2 linked regions of the Oreochromis niloticus genome follow. The protein of the gene in region 2 purifies or fractionates together with the protein of the main gene of each other region. This does not show direct contact. Links are inferred from orthologs where the notes say so. Each region holds a gene or a part of one and is shown on either strand. Other genes may lie near its edges.

Region 1 (7,111 bases), on a different chromosome or scaffold from region 2:
AGCCATTCCCACTTGCTGGTGTCGGCGTGTCCTGTGCCAATATACTTTGATTGGAGATGCTCCAGCTGACTGTGGATGTTGTAACGGTCTGTCATTCTTGCTGAAATGAGTCCTGGAGGCTCTAAACAGGGGAAGAGATGAGAAAAAAGTTAGAATACAAATTAGAGATGGCACGATACCACTTTTTTATGTCCGATACCGATACCGATATCATAAATTTGGATATCTGCCGATACCGATATGAATCCGATATAGTGTGTTTTTTAATCAATAAAACTGTTTTTTTAATATCTTGCTGCATTTTGTATAAGTTCATACTCAAGTTTAAATAAACAATAACACTAAAGCTATTCTGTTATACCTGTATGTAAAAAATACACTGCACCCAAAATATTTTATAGTTCAGCAACACTGATCAATCTAATAAACTTAAACCTGCTCCATCCTTCCTATTCTGGTATTTTAAAGAGTACTTAGCAGAAATATTAAGCAACCTAACTAATAGGGTTGCAAACTCCCAGCAAAAAAAAATAGGGAACCACCCCCCATCCTCCACCTCATGATGCTTAATCGATGTAATCAACTTTAATTTGATGCAGGGTGAAAAAAAATGCACAGAATTAAATTATTTTTCAAGAATAATTAAATAGATTCAACATCTTTCTTCAACAGAATTGCAGACTGCACAGATGGTACCTTCCCAAAGGAAAAAGTACTATAGCTTACTAGAGTATATTAGACTTAACAGTTACTATATACAGAAATGGACTTCTATACATTTTACATCAGATTAAAACTTTGGGTGTAAGATTCAGATAATTATTTATTAAAAGCTAGACATTTTAAATGAGAATAAGAAAGAAAAGTATGTCTTTGTGCCCCCTTTTCCCTGTTCATGCCCTATCGGCCCCCCTGGCTAAACTTTGCTAGATCCGCCCCTGCACAGTTACCAGCCGTCAGCTAAAAGGATCCTGGTGTAGAAAGTAATATTAAATAAAAATTCTAACAGCAGCTTATCAAGTTTAAACGTGCTGCTGTTGTTCAGCCGCTGGTTTCCTCTTTCTGGTGCAAAGTGGGCCAAAAACAAAGAAGAGAGACGGACTCCCGACAGAAAAGCCGATCAGCTGATCGTTAAGCAGTTTCACGATTGAAGTAGCGGCAGGAAGGTGAGGGAGGGAGAGAGGCAGTCGCTCCATATATCGGTTGTTAAGCTTAACATGGGAACGCTTTACAAACATTCAGAGATGAACTTACACACTTGCTTTACTTCTCTCTGGGATAACTTTCTCAGAGATGAAATGCTGGTTTGGTAGTGAGGCTACAAATACACACAGCCGCTCTATCAGTGAGGCATACTGCTCCGACGTGCTACGGTTATGAGCCGAGTTACACCCTGTCGCAAGTTTTGTGAGGTGTTTTTTTTAATATTTAATGTATCGGATTACATTTTTAATTTCTCACCGATATCCGATCCAGTAATTTACGTCAGTATCGGACCGATACCGATACGTAATATCGGATCGGTCCATCTCTAATACAAATACAAAATAAATAAATAAAAATAAATATGGACCACACAATGAGATAACAGGCTAAAAACTTTAAGATGGGCTATTAATCAAAGTCTGTATTCAATTAGAACTATCTTTTACAGACTGAAAAAAAAAAAAAGACTACGACTGTGCTGTTTGTCTTTTAACAAAAGGCGAGGGTTCATATTTTGTCCTATTCTATAAATCCAGTGAATCCCCTTCCTTTGCACTGGCACAATTTTGCCCCTCACTAAACACCCAGTGTTCCCTTCAGGTTTTGGCAGGTCAGCTCAACCAAAAATGATATAAAGAGAGAGTTTTTTGGTCATCAAAAAGAAAACCAATTCATATGTTTGGAATACCTTTGACTGAAAAAAGTGACAAAGAACAAGAAATAAATTGTCTTCATTGTTTAAAAAGCTCAAAAGTCTTACCAGGTTAAAGAATTGCAACCTTAATACTGAGCAAAAATAACCTTGATTATTGTGTTACAGTATTTTTATCCCTTATCCCACATATTGAGACTGTGTCCCACATTTTCACTGGCTCTGGTTTTCCCAAATACAACACAGACACTTTTCTAAGGTCTGGTTTTTATCCAGTGGTTGTTAAGAAATAGGAAAAGGCTGTCACCACAGATGAAGTGCAGGTAAAGGTCCGATTTAGACTTCTGTGGGCATTCTGCGTCTACGACACAACTTACGTAAGTCGCCGACCTTGTTGCTGTCATTTATACTTGTGAATTTTGTTTTAGTAACAGAGTGGTCGTGTTCTGATGTTTTATATTTATTGCCAGCCATTGTAGAAACAAAGACTCATTTTCTTTACCAGCCGTTGTTCTTCTGAGTAAAGTCACATACCGAAGGCTGATTGATTCGGAGCCAAAATAACCATCTATTGTAAGCCGTTTAAGGCTTATAAGTACAGGGACCCAAGAATGAAACGCTATCTAACAGCAACAGCACATGCGGACATCACAAGAAACGTGCAGCTAAAAAGGAGACGCAAGTTCAGTCATGTAACCTCAATATTTTTCTTGTATTTTGTATTTACGAGTCTAGCAATGCCACAACAAATGTTAACCCGAAATGAATGATTATAATAGTTTGAAGCAATTTACATTTTATTTAAATTTAAAGTAAAGACATTTCTATGTAAACAGAGAAATTAACCGGTTTTTGTTTTCCTGCTAATGCTAATGTGAGGCTAATTAGCCATTGTTAGCCTATTCACCGTATCTGTAAACCGCTCTCTAAATGTTCCTTTTAAAGTTAATATAATAACTAGGAAGACAGATTTTAAGTTTAAAATACAACGGATACTTACATAAAATGTCAGGAATTCAAACACGAAGGTAGGAGATGTAAATAAATTACACGACTGTCTCCACCTCAACACAGCACCACGGAGCGATCACTTCCGGTTGGTTCGCCCAGTAAAATGAACCGGAAAGGAACATAGACTGTAAACTCTGCGTTTCTCGTGTAGATCCTAAATCTTAATTATATATATATGTGCATAGTATTGTAATGTATTAGTAATACACACAAGTACGAAGGTGCAATGCATCACTTAACACTGACAAAAAAACTGTTGTTCTCTTAACCCGCAGTTAATTATATAATTAAGGAAATACAGAGAATAACAATCAATCAATCAATCAAACATCAAAACGAGCGGCTCGTTCGCGACCTGTGTGCTTCTATTCGGATTTTTGAAATTTTGTACAGTATGTGAGGCAACGTTTATTTTACAACAAATAAACTGAGGGGCACTGGCTCAGAATCACATGTTGTGCAGTTACAAACAAATGAAAACATCTGCTTATCATAAGTTTAAGCCTAACATTTAGTATGTAGGGAATAGTAAATAATGTGCACATTTGCGATATAATGTGCGCGCGCGCGCACACACACAATTAATATTATATAATAACAATAATCAGTCATATAAATAGCATAATTCCAGATTTTGATCAACATCATATTCAGCCACAGCCTGATATGGAAAAAAGACAGAAGCCTATTAACCGTACATACAGACTGACTGGATGTGTCACCATATAACAAACTCTCTCCTTTATTCCTCATTCAATTCTTTCCAGTGATCACTTTTATAGGAACTCTGACCATATTTGTTTTGCTCAGGTACATAGGTTGGAAGAATGGTGCTAAATCTTGTCATTTGTTGATTAATGTCAACAAAATGAAAGATCTTGTGTTGAATTACACAAGCCCCATTACAGTCTTTCACTTTCTGGTCAGTCTGTGGAAGTCATTAATAGCTTATATATATATGCTAACATATATTGATGACAAGGTTAATATTATGGTTAATGTTGACCCCATTTACAAGAAACCTAATCATTGTTTCTTATTAGGATGTTAAGGGACTTTGGAATTAACCACGATGTTTATGTCACTTTGATTGAAAACATCATTACGTCCAATATTTCAATAACCTGACTGTGGCAATTTAAGAACAAACCACATTATTTTCAGAATCAAATTATTGGTCAACATCAAATTAAACTGGATAAACTGTGTCATCAGTCTGTTTTGAGGAAAGCCCGGTCTATTATTGCTGACCATGACCTCCCTCTCTATTCTGATTTTGAATTAATGCCTTCAAAACGACATTATAGGACACCTCCAGGTATAGAGGTGTATAAGGGAGGATTTGTGCCAAGAGCAATTGATATACTGAATAATGAGATGCTGTGATGTGTTTTTATTATTGTATTGAAGTGTTGTATATGTATATGTATGAATGTGGGTTCATTTGAAGCAACTTGGTGAAACAAAGGCAATTTTCCATGGATTTGGTTAATAAAGCTATTCTATTCTATTTGATCATATAGACTGGGCTCTAGGGCACGGACACCTTTGCTAGAATGTCAGCGATGTAGTAGCTCATCCACCTCATGATCCATCATAATACAGAGGTTATTGTATTGTGTGAGGTGGAGAAAGAAAGTTTTGTTGTTACTGGCTGGCTTTATTGCAGAAACTCATGAGAATTGAAATCCACTGAGAAGTCAAGCAGGCTTGTAAACAGTCAGATCCAGGACAAATTAATGTCATTTCACTAAAACTGGACCTCCAGGAGAAACAGTAATTCTTGTGAAAATGGAAAAATGTCCATAAAACAACAACTGTAACCTTGACATTGACAATGAGAACAGTTTCAGTGAAGAACCATCAGGTGATCACTGTGTTTCACTAAATTCTGACCAATAGTTCAATTCAGTTTAATTCAGTTCAACCCAATTCAGTTTATTTATGTCATACCAGGACATCTGTCTCTCAAATAGTCGAATGGGAGCAGTGATTCTTGTGAATTGTGGGAGTGAAGGATAACAGGCGCCTTGCCATTCCATAGGCTCATTAGCTGTTTGACCCAATTAGCTCAAAATGTGTCTGTCTCTGTTTGTGTTGCCTGTTTTCTGTTAAACTGCCAAATTTGTCTGTATGATGTTCTGTGGCTAGGTGCAAAGCAGTAATAACTTAACCACAGACATTAGCGTTATGGCACTCATGGGTAGGATGATGGGCAATATTCTTGGCTCAACATTTAATTTTGAGCCAAAATCACCACATTTCTGAAATGTTTACTTATATTTTGTGAATAGTTAGGCTCTATTGTCTTTAGATGTTATCTAAAGAGAATAGACTAGTGTGCCAATACATGTGGCACAATAGTGCATGGTTTGCCTCACGGCAAGAAGGATTTTTGAATCCAGTCTGGGGCTGTTTTTGTGTAGAGTTTGTATGTTCTCACTGTGTGGGTTCCTCCCACAGTCCCAAAATAAACATGGAGTTAAGTATACTGGTGTATAGCTGCAGTGCTAATTTTTTTAACACAGTTTTGGAAATAAATTTGGGAGCTGCTGTTTTATGCTGATATTTGGACAACTAAAAACTCAGGGTAAGGTTTAGGGTCATCTCTACAAGTTGCTGACTCTAACTGACATTCCTTGGACTTTGGTGCCTGTGTTACTGCTGTTTTATTCCTGGAATGTTAGTATTTAGTCACAATGGTATTGGACACTTTAAATTTTTGACCTGACAATAAATGCATACATTTTATGAATACATAACAGGCTGGAATTCATCCCAAGGGCAGTGTGAATGCCATTAGGGTCCCAACTAAAGAAACACAAAGGAAATAAATGTTGAGACTTCTGGTATCAGTAGCATTCAGATCATTTTCTGGGAGCCATGAAGGTCTAGTAAAAACTATTACTACATCTACTATAACATTTTACTGTCTGGCTGAACATTGTAAAATGTTTCTTTGGGGAAAACAATTTAAATCCAACATTTCTACAGAAACTATGAGTACATGACTCCTCTGCTTCATTAATTTTAATAGTTTTTGTGCATCTCGTAGACTGTGTTCATCTCTAAGGCGCGATAACAGGAAGATGTGCATTGAGGTTACCCGAAGGTAATTTTAATTTTTGCAAAAGCATTCTCCTGAGAGTTATATTTATTTTTATTACCAAACTTATTTTCAGTCCCAACCCTTTTAAGATAACATATTGCACTTTGGATGATTACCTGAATTTTGCATGTTCTTTATATTAACTGTTTGGTTGGTTGTTTATAGAGCCGAGTCATCTCTTTATTACTGTTCAGAGACCGCTGTGGTTATCTGGGTAGCTGCAAAAGATTGTGTTTGCTGGCTTTACCCAAGAATGTTTCTGCTTTTGATCCCAGGAGCCGTATATGCAGCAACGAGTTGGAATTCTGCAACATTTAGAAATAACTAGAAATCTGGAAGAAATCACTGGAAAAACAGAATAGTGCCATCAAAGTTACATTCCTATGATGTGTCAGATCAGATCAGTATATAGATACACAAAAGCATTTTCCATGTTTTAGGACCATTTCATTAAGGTTTATTTTTACATTTGATTAAACTACAGAAGACAACATATCACATTGAATTATGTCCCATGAGGACTGCTCTTCACTATCAACAGTCTAGCTCACTCGTTCTGTAGAAAAATATCTGATGAAAATAACGTGGCATGATGGATTATAGCAATAAAACAGGAAGGTGCATTTATCAAACTGCACCCCAGGGATGATATTCTCAGCAGCACATCCCGGCAGAAACCACTGGTACGGAAAACAAAGCTGGGTGACACCTTAGCTGTGGGGGAGATGGGATGTTGTTTACATTGCTTGTGGCTTTGCATATAACAGAGAAGCATGCAGAGTTTAGTGCAGCTGAAGGATAAAAACTCTCCAGCCTCTTGAGACTCTAATCCCTCAGTATGAGCTGAATGCAAAATAAGTGCAGCGGACTGTTAAAAGGGTTTGGCAACAATGTGAATAAAGGCACGATTATTATGCTCAGTCTTCTGGTCTCCACTTGAAGGTGCAACAGTGAGATAGAAGGTGTAGAAAAATAGGTGCCGCTAATAAAGCCTGTTAAATTATGCTTCTGCTCTACATTTCCCAGTTAAATTCCAGTCTGTAGCACTCTGATGTTCAGTATTCAACAGTTTTCATAACCTGCACTGCATTTTAAGTGGACAACATACTACTGAATATATATATATAAAAAAA
Region 2 (7,816 bases):
TGAGCTGTAGCAAAAATAACTTTGGTAGATTACTGAGTTCTGTTATTCTGTGAACTGATTAATCTATGAGGAATGATCATCTCAAAGCTTTAATAACAAAACTAGTTATTTTTTTCAGCAACATTCTCAAAAAGCCTGCTTACTAATTTGAAAATCTTATATTACAAACACCTACAAACATAAACTAATAGTCTGAGGAACTTGATCTGTCAAAGGCAGCTTTAAGTTGGCTACAACGCAATGAAGAAGCCTTTGAACTGCTCCTGTGTGCTGTGTGACTGACCTATAGTTGAAATCCTTGTCTTTGCCATCTAGAAAACGCTGGTGCATCTGACTGATGAACTCCTCTCTGAGAAGAGCCTTCTCCTCCGGGGTCGGCTCCCATTCCTTCTGCTGGTCTCTGTCATCTACAGTATGAAACACAGAGCAGAATAAGAAAAGATGGAGGGAAAAGAAGAAGAAAAGAAAAAAGCCTAAATTTTAAAGTTTTTTCTTCAACCCGAACTCTGACTGACCGTAGTCGTCATCCTCCTCTTCTTCCTCCAGTGCGCCGTCTTCCTTCTCCTGCTCCTCCTGCAGACGATTTTGGATGAGTCGTTCCTGGTAGGAGTTGAGGAGCAGATTGGCAAGTCCTCCTGTACCTTGCCCCGGCTCCCCGGCTCCCCCCTGTGCACTATCCAGCATGGCCTCCTGGGAGCGTTGTAGCACCTGCAGCATTCATGAAGGTAATTAGATAAATACTCTGAAATATACAAAAATTGTAATCACATATAAAACGCAAGATAAACAGGACTCACCTCTTCATCTGTCAGGTACTGGCCAATATACTGTTCGTACAGCAGCGGCTCCCTCATTCGCATCTGTTCTTCACTGAAGTACTGGCCGTCTAGAAGAGGAGGCATGGCACAAAAAGAAACACAAAACAAAACCAGGCCGATGGCGAGTTAGAGAGAAAAGTACCTCAGTTGGCTGCAAGTACCTCAGTTGACATTATCAAAGACTAAAGCTTTTTTGCCCAATTGCTGCATGGTGGCATAATATAAAAGGCTGTATTGCATCATTAACTGCTGCTGCCCCTACCCTTCTGCAGAGCCCTGAGGGCAGCATAGCGCTGATTCCTGACTCTGGTCCTGTCGGTGCGTCCTGCAGCCCGTCTCTGTATCACCTTGCTGTAGTGCTGTGCTCGTGGGTCTGAGCTGACATGTGCAAATGCTGACAGATGCTGAGGCTTCAGGCAAGCCTAGAAATTGTAAGATTAAAAACAAAATATAATAATGGAATTCTTCACTTCTTTACCAACAGTACAATATTTAGTTAACAATGTATTTTGAAACTGGCTTTTTTGGAGATCTGTAATGTAAATGTTCCTGTCTGTAAAGAACTTTTGGGTCAGCTTCTGTTATTTAATGTGTTATTGGTAGACATAACAGTCAACACACAGTCACAGTGCATGTTTGAGGTACATCTTTTCATTTCTAAACAATAATAACAGTTTATTCAACACAATTCAGTGCTCTGCAAACTAAACTCAGAGGACAGAAGTATCAGTCGTAACACACTAGTACCAACCCAATACCAATGCCAGCACTGGTATCAAAATGATATTTAGATCGATGGGCCCACCTCTACGGTTGGGCTCAGAGGAAGATTTAGTACTTAAAAAATATATAGCTCAACAACCATCAGCCAATGCTGTACTCTCCAAAATATACAAGGAAATTGTTCTCACTGAAAGTGAAAACAAGACACACTTCTTTCACTCCTTAAGGTAAAAACAAAGCTAAGTACAGCCAGGCTAAGAAGGAGGAGATGCTAACAGCTGATGATGTGCGACCCAAATGTCAACAAACGACTCCACTGTGTCACTTGAGCACTAGCTGGTTGCACTCCATATGACAGGAAGACTAAAAGGAATGTGGGAATTACTGACACTTAAAGCAGATGGTTACAAGCTTAAGTTACAATGTTTACAAGGTTGCAAGGTTAAGTTGTTGTTGAACTGAAGCAATAAGCCGTCATTTTATACTTTTTAATTAAAAATTCCAAGGAAAGCACTAACTAGGCTACTTTTGTGTTTAAATTTGATTCATGCTCTGTCACTACTATTGTACTACAATGCTGGCACCTTGTTCCAACAGAGTAACACATTAAGTGATAAAGAGTGCCATCAATGGAAGCACGTCACTGGGAAAGAAGTTTGCCTTCATTTACTTATGAATGTCGTTGCCTCTAAGCATCTATATTGGGCGATGTTGCCCTTCACTAGCACACACACGTGTACGTTGAACTGTGGGCACATACATGGTACCTCTCCAGGAACACCAGCGGCCTGCTGCGGTACTGATGCAGCAGCTCCTCTCTGCGCTCCTGCACGGTCAGCTCAGCCTCTCCGATCTGCTGGCTCTTCACCAGAACGCCGCTCACAGCTATGGCCTCCATCATGGCATTCACACAGCTGGACTCGCTCAGGTTTATATTCTGTATGATGAGCAGAAAGCGTAAATCAGCGAGGCGTCATAATGGCAGACAGCACCTGACACTGTGGTTGAAAATATAAACGAAAAAACAAACGCTGTTGTCGCTGATTGGTTCACCTGGATGTCCTGCACCACCCGCTGGGTGTCTTCAGAGCTGCTGGAGTCACATCTCTGTCTCCGTGGCAGTATTATTTCTTCTATTTTCCTCTCGTCTTCAGTCTCACAGAAGCTTGGCTGTGTTTTAACAGGAGGGTCGATCTCTCCCCACATCATTAACCGCGGTGTCACTTAGCCACCGTCTTCCCAGCAGCTAACGATGGTCAACTAAGAAAAGCTCAGCCTACTGCCGACTTCCCCTGTTTATTTCTTTTAAACGACCAATTAATTTTTACAATTTGATGAGAAACTCTCTTTAATGGAAACCTCGCGTGTTATTTTACCTTTCACTTGTTTTGTATAACGTTTCGTCGCCATAACGGTCCGTCATTTTTGTGTGTCCCCCTTTCTCTGTGCAACCGAAAGAATTGTTCCTCCCCCACAGCCTTTTCTTTGATATGTCTTTGTCGCCACCTTGTGACAGACTTTAATGCTTATATTTTTTTCCAACAGAGAAATATTTTAGAAATAAATATCAAACATAAATTGCACATGGGTCACCTCAGCTTTATTTTTTATTCTTTTATCAATTATTGCTGACATATCATACTGTGGTGTTTAAGCGCTGTATAGTCTATTACTTGAAATCTGTGATTTCAAATAATATGTTAGGTGATATGACCAGTATTTTTCAAATATTATCAAAGGTCAGGTTCAATTGTTTTCACCTTGAGGCTCTGTGCATGGCTTCTTCTTGGCTGAAGTGCTCTTCAGCAAGGCAATGAACCCTAAACTGCTTCTGTGTGCACATAAAGGACTGTTCAGCTTCAGGGAGATAAGTGACAGGTCACAGCTGTCCTCTGTCTGAGAGCCACTCTGGAGAGTAAGAGCCTCTTCTTACTCTCCAGACTTTCAGGTGTGACTGTGAAGCATGAAAATCAAAGAGGGAAGAAAAAGATGAGGAGGTACGGCAGGATTTGGCATTCAAGGCCAGTCTTTGAAAACAAACAAACAAAGCTGCTCTTGTAATGGAAATGATGTGTCTTGTGGTCAGGGTTGGAATTACTACTGTTGTATTTTTGCATAAATGCATTTTACTCACCTTTGCTGCAACTTCTGAGGGCTGGTAGATGTACATCTTGTTGTGGTAGAACTGAGGAACAGAATATTAATTTACCTTAACACTAAATGTGTACTATGCCATTTCTCCAACTAGTAATACTAAGCAAAAATAATAAAAATAACTAAAATCAAGGTCGATTGCTGCTGCTGTTTGGGTTAAGAATGAACATTCGTTTTTTTATTGGTGAACACTATGATATAATGCTTGCAGAGTTTTTCCTCTGTGTTTCTCTAACACTTCCTGTGAAATTCATTTAAAATAAACTGTTGTATAATTTGAAGTGCACCTCCAACTTTAACCCATTGGTGGTGCTGGAGTTCTTGAGCCATGGGCATAAAACTTGGTGGAAAGTATCAGAGGGTTATCCTCAACCAGATTTCAAAATATTTTAACATACAGTTTTCAGATCAACCATAGACTTCAATGGCAGGAGAAGAGAAGGGAGATGATTAAAGAAAAAGAATAAGCGTGGATAATGTTTAACCCATTCTCTAGCCCTCAGGACACAGCTGACGGTTCTCTTGTTTTGTTTTGGTGTTTCAGAGGTGTTACAGTGAGCTCACAGTAATCTGATACAGCTGTTCAAATGACTGTACTATTTAGACAGGAGTATGCTGCGGACCCCTTTTCAAAATGGCACGTCTCCACCCGCTGGACAGCAGAAGTACTACAACTCTCCTTTCTGCAAGATAGAAACAAATACAAATCTATGGTGTCTGGTTAATGAACACAGTCCTATCTGTTCTCTCCAGACAAGTGTTACTCTGTATCAAGTCCCGTTTTTAAAGCTCTAAATAACAGCACATGTATGTGTGTGTCTGTAATCCCAGCACCTGTGATAAAGAGGTCCTGCATATATTGATGTGGCCAGCTGGTCCTGCTATTTAAACCCATGGCAGAGACTAAAGAAGTTTAGAGGAAAGAGAGATGTAATATCAGAGGAGGAGTGGGGGAGATATGAGGGCTGAGTGTTGACAGAGGAAAAGGGTTAAACTTAGGGGCCAAGAAAAGAGCAAATCATTTAAAAGGAGACTAAAATCAGCTAAATATATAGAGTCAAATAAACATTTTTAAGCCTTAAATTGAAATTCTCTGGTGAAAATATGACTTTTATCAAAATTATTTCATCATATCGATCTTTATTTACAGCACTATAGATGCATGTGTTATGCGTTAGGATGGTTTGTTAGAGAAAAGTGAAAGAAATGAGGTGAAATAGACCATCCACACAACCTTAAAAAACAAATCACAAAAAATTGTGTGCTGACTAAAATATGGAAAGTAAACCGGTGAGCATAAAATGTTCGGAACCCAAAGTGCAGTTTTCACTGTGACAAAACTGTCAAAGCAAGGTCCCATTGTTGTGAATAATTTGCAAGAAAACTGAGTCTCTAATTCATTCTGTTTGCTTTCCATGCAGACTTCAGTTTGACTGACACGTGAATCAATAGTTAATAACTGTATTTTGGTTTTGCAGTCAATTATTTCTCAGGGGGGCCCAAAGGGAGAGAAAGAAAGATACAGGTAAATGTGCCAAAAATGGATACCACTGAGTCAACAGCTAATTAAAAATGTAATTGCTCAGTTACTTTGTTACAGGAGACAATGGAGTCTTTTTTTGGAAAGCAGAAATAAATAGAAGGCAGATGTGGTTATGGTACAGTCATAATAACATAACAGTACCACCAGGGGGAAGAGCAGCAGTCTGGATGATGAAAATGTAAGAGAGGTTAATTTATGTGCGTAGTATAGTTTAGGTTTCAAAGATGAAATAGACTAGACCTGGTTTTATTTTTTGATCCATTTAAAGAGTTTGTGTGACATGATGATGAAATATTAGACTTGAAATAAATAAACAGCATCCATCGACTAGCTACCTGGATACATATTCTTTTGTGTACTGCAGCCTTTAATTTCCTGTATTCATTCGAGGTCTGTCAGTAGTATTGAGTCAGCTTCTAAATGAACGCACAAGGTGACTCATTAGATTACTGAGACCACTTCTAGGCAATGACTTTTGACATCTGGTCTTATAATTTCCTCTTTGTGACACAGCAGAGAATCATTTTAATAGATCTGTGTACAACAGATATTGATGAACACATTGTGTCTGACAGTGACAGAGAGCGGAGGGGAGAAGGTGGCCCAGTAATTACAACTGCGCTGGTTGTAAGCAGCGTTTGGTTTATTTATTACTTATTTGAACTTCCGCTTTGTTATTTTAGGATCTTTACCTTATAACATAAAGCGCCTTGAGGCTGCAATACTGCTCAGCATGCAGAAACAGTCATCTGAGACTAGACGGTAAACATAACAGAGCACTGAGCAGCTACAGAGTTGGGTAAAAAACAGGCCAGAAAGAAAGGAAATATCACCAGGTGACCAAAAACGTATCTACAAATGAACTAACTTCTGACTATGTCACAATGTTAAATGATACCTTTGAACCATCTAATGAAAAAGGTTATCACAGTTTGCTTCCACATGCGCAGGACCCAATAACAAGTTGTTGCAGATTTTAAAGGTCAGTGGAGTTGTGACTTTTTCCTCAACTTTTTGTTAAGAGAAATTTATTTTTCATTGTACATGCCAGCTAAAATCCTTTTATCTATGCCTTTACATTTGCCTTTACAGGTGATGCACACAGTACTGTGCACAAGTTATGAGCTCCCCTCATTTCTTTATATTTTGCTTCCGAGGAGTGCTCTGTATAGTTCTCCAGGCTTTTTTAAGATCTTCTGTTCGCTGCTTTTTTCATCCATTTTAAGGCCAGTCTTTGTACCTGACCATTTTCAGGGAAGCATAAAATAAGCCTCTAATTCAAGAGATGATCCAAGGTTGTGTTTAAATGTAGCAAAGCATTTTATTTAATTTATTAAAAAATGCCAAAGATAAGACAGTTTGACAGGCATTTACCTTGTTGCTATTTTTCCACCAGTAAGGTAATTCCCAAAGTGCTATAAGCATAAGCATCTCAACATGATGTGCAGTTTATCCTTAAAAGATTTGAGGAAACTGGATAAGTGGAGAGAAAAAGAAGGAGGAGCAGCCCCAAAAGAAAACTATCTGCAGCTGATGAACAATATCTGAAAGTCACAGAGAAGGAAAAAATCTGACACAGGACCTGACAGATGCATCTGAATGCCTTACTGATCCACCTACTGTTCACCAAAGCCTCATCAGAAATGGTCTCAGTAGAAGGTTGGCTGTCAAGAAGCCATTATTATGGAATGGAAACAGAGAGGAAAGGCTGAGGCATGCCACATTAGTGAAGAACTTGAAATCAGTGGCAACAGGTCTGATGGAGTGAAGAATCACCGTGCAATACTATCTGGAAAGCATCTGATGGCAATACCTTCATTTTTCATCATGACAATGATCCCAAACACCCTCTGAATGGATACCTGGATAGAAAAACACACAATGGAACACTATTGTCTATTCCTCGACACAAAGTTTGACCACCCATGACAATAGTGAGGTCATCATCTGGCCTCCTAAGAGCCCAGACCTCAACATTTTTGAAGCAGCCTGGGATCATCTTGAGAGAGAAGTGAACAAAGGCAGCCAACATCTAAAGAAGAGCTTTGAATGTCCTTCACCAGGTCTGAAGAACTATTCCTGAACACTACTTTAAGAAATTTTAAGAAAGCTGCCAAAGAGAGTTCAGGCAATGTTGAAGAATAAAGGTGGTCAAACCAATTGTTGAAGAGCTTATTACAATTGTACAGCAATGTTTTTGCCTTGTGTACTGTATTTCCATATGTGTTTGCATAGTTTTCAATAATTCACCTATTTTCCATTTTCCCAGCTAAATCTAAATAAATTAGACATGACTCAAGCGTTATGCATAGCATGGAGTTTCATTACTGTCCTTCACAGCAGTCCTTCAGACAGATATCTCCCATGTTATTATGCTGCCTGAGTTGGCACAAGGATGAAGGTAACAGCTTTTTAGTTGAGTGAGCTAATGTTTTGTTCCTGTCAAATGCTGTAAAGCAGCACCAGAACTGAGACTTCCATAATAGTGCTTTGTTATACAGCACTTACCAATATACTTTCAGATCCCCACAGCAATACATTTACGACATATTGAGAATCTTCACCAGCACAATATATC

What was found. Proteins that work in one complex are often made in the same cells at the same time.
Region 1: the proteins of coiled-coil domain-containing protein 97 (region 2) and sf3b5 purify together in Homo sapiens (affinity purification with mass spectrometry; 3 studies listed by BioGRID and IntAct, counting the BioPlex papers as one, with this or other methods). This does not show direct contact. The link is inferred for Oreochromis niloticus from reciprocal best matches to the Homo sapiens genes CCDC97 and SF3B5.

Annotation. Positions count from the first base shown.
Region 1 is NC_031978.2:12,070,603-12,077,713, reverse strand, and holds the start of sf3b5 (splicing factor 3B subunit 5), read right to left. Parts: upstream 3,011-7,111; 5' UTR 2,859-3,010; intron 122-2,858; 5' UTR 96-121; coding exon 1-95. UniProt on the Homo sapiens protein: Component of the 17S U2 SnRNP complex of the spliceosome, a large ribonucleoprotein complex that removes introns from transcribed pre-mRNAs.
Region 2 is NC_031969.2:11,464,199-11,472,014, forward strand, and holds the start of coiled-coil domain-containing protein 97, read right to left. Parts: upstream 3,005-7,816; 5' UTR 2,751-3,004; coding exon 2,595-2,750; intron 2,479-2,594; coding exon 2,302-2,478; intron 1,241-2,301; coding exon 1,081-1,240; intron 887-1,080; coding exon 798-886; intron 709-797; coding exon 516-708; intron 408-515; coding exon 284-407; intron 1-283. UniProt on the Homo sapiens protein: May play a role pre-mRNA splicing through the association with the splicing factor SF3B complex which is involved in branch-site recognition.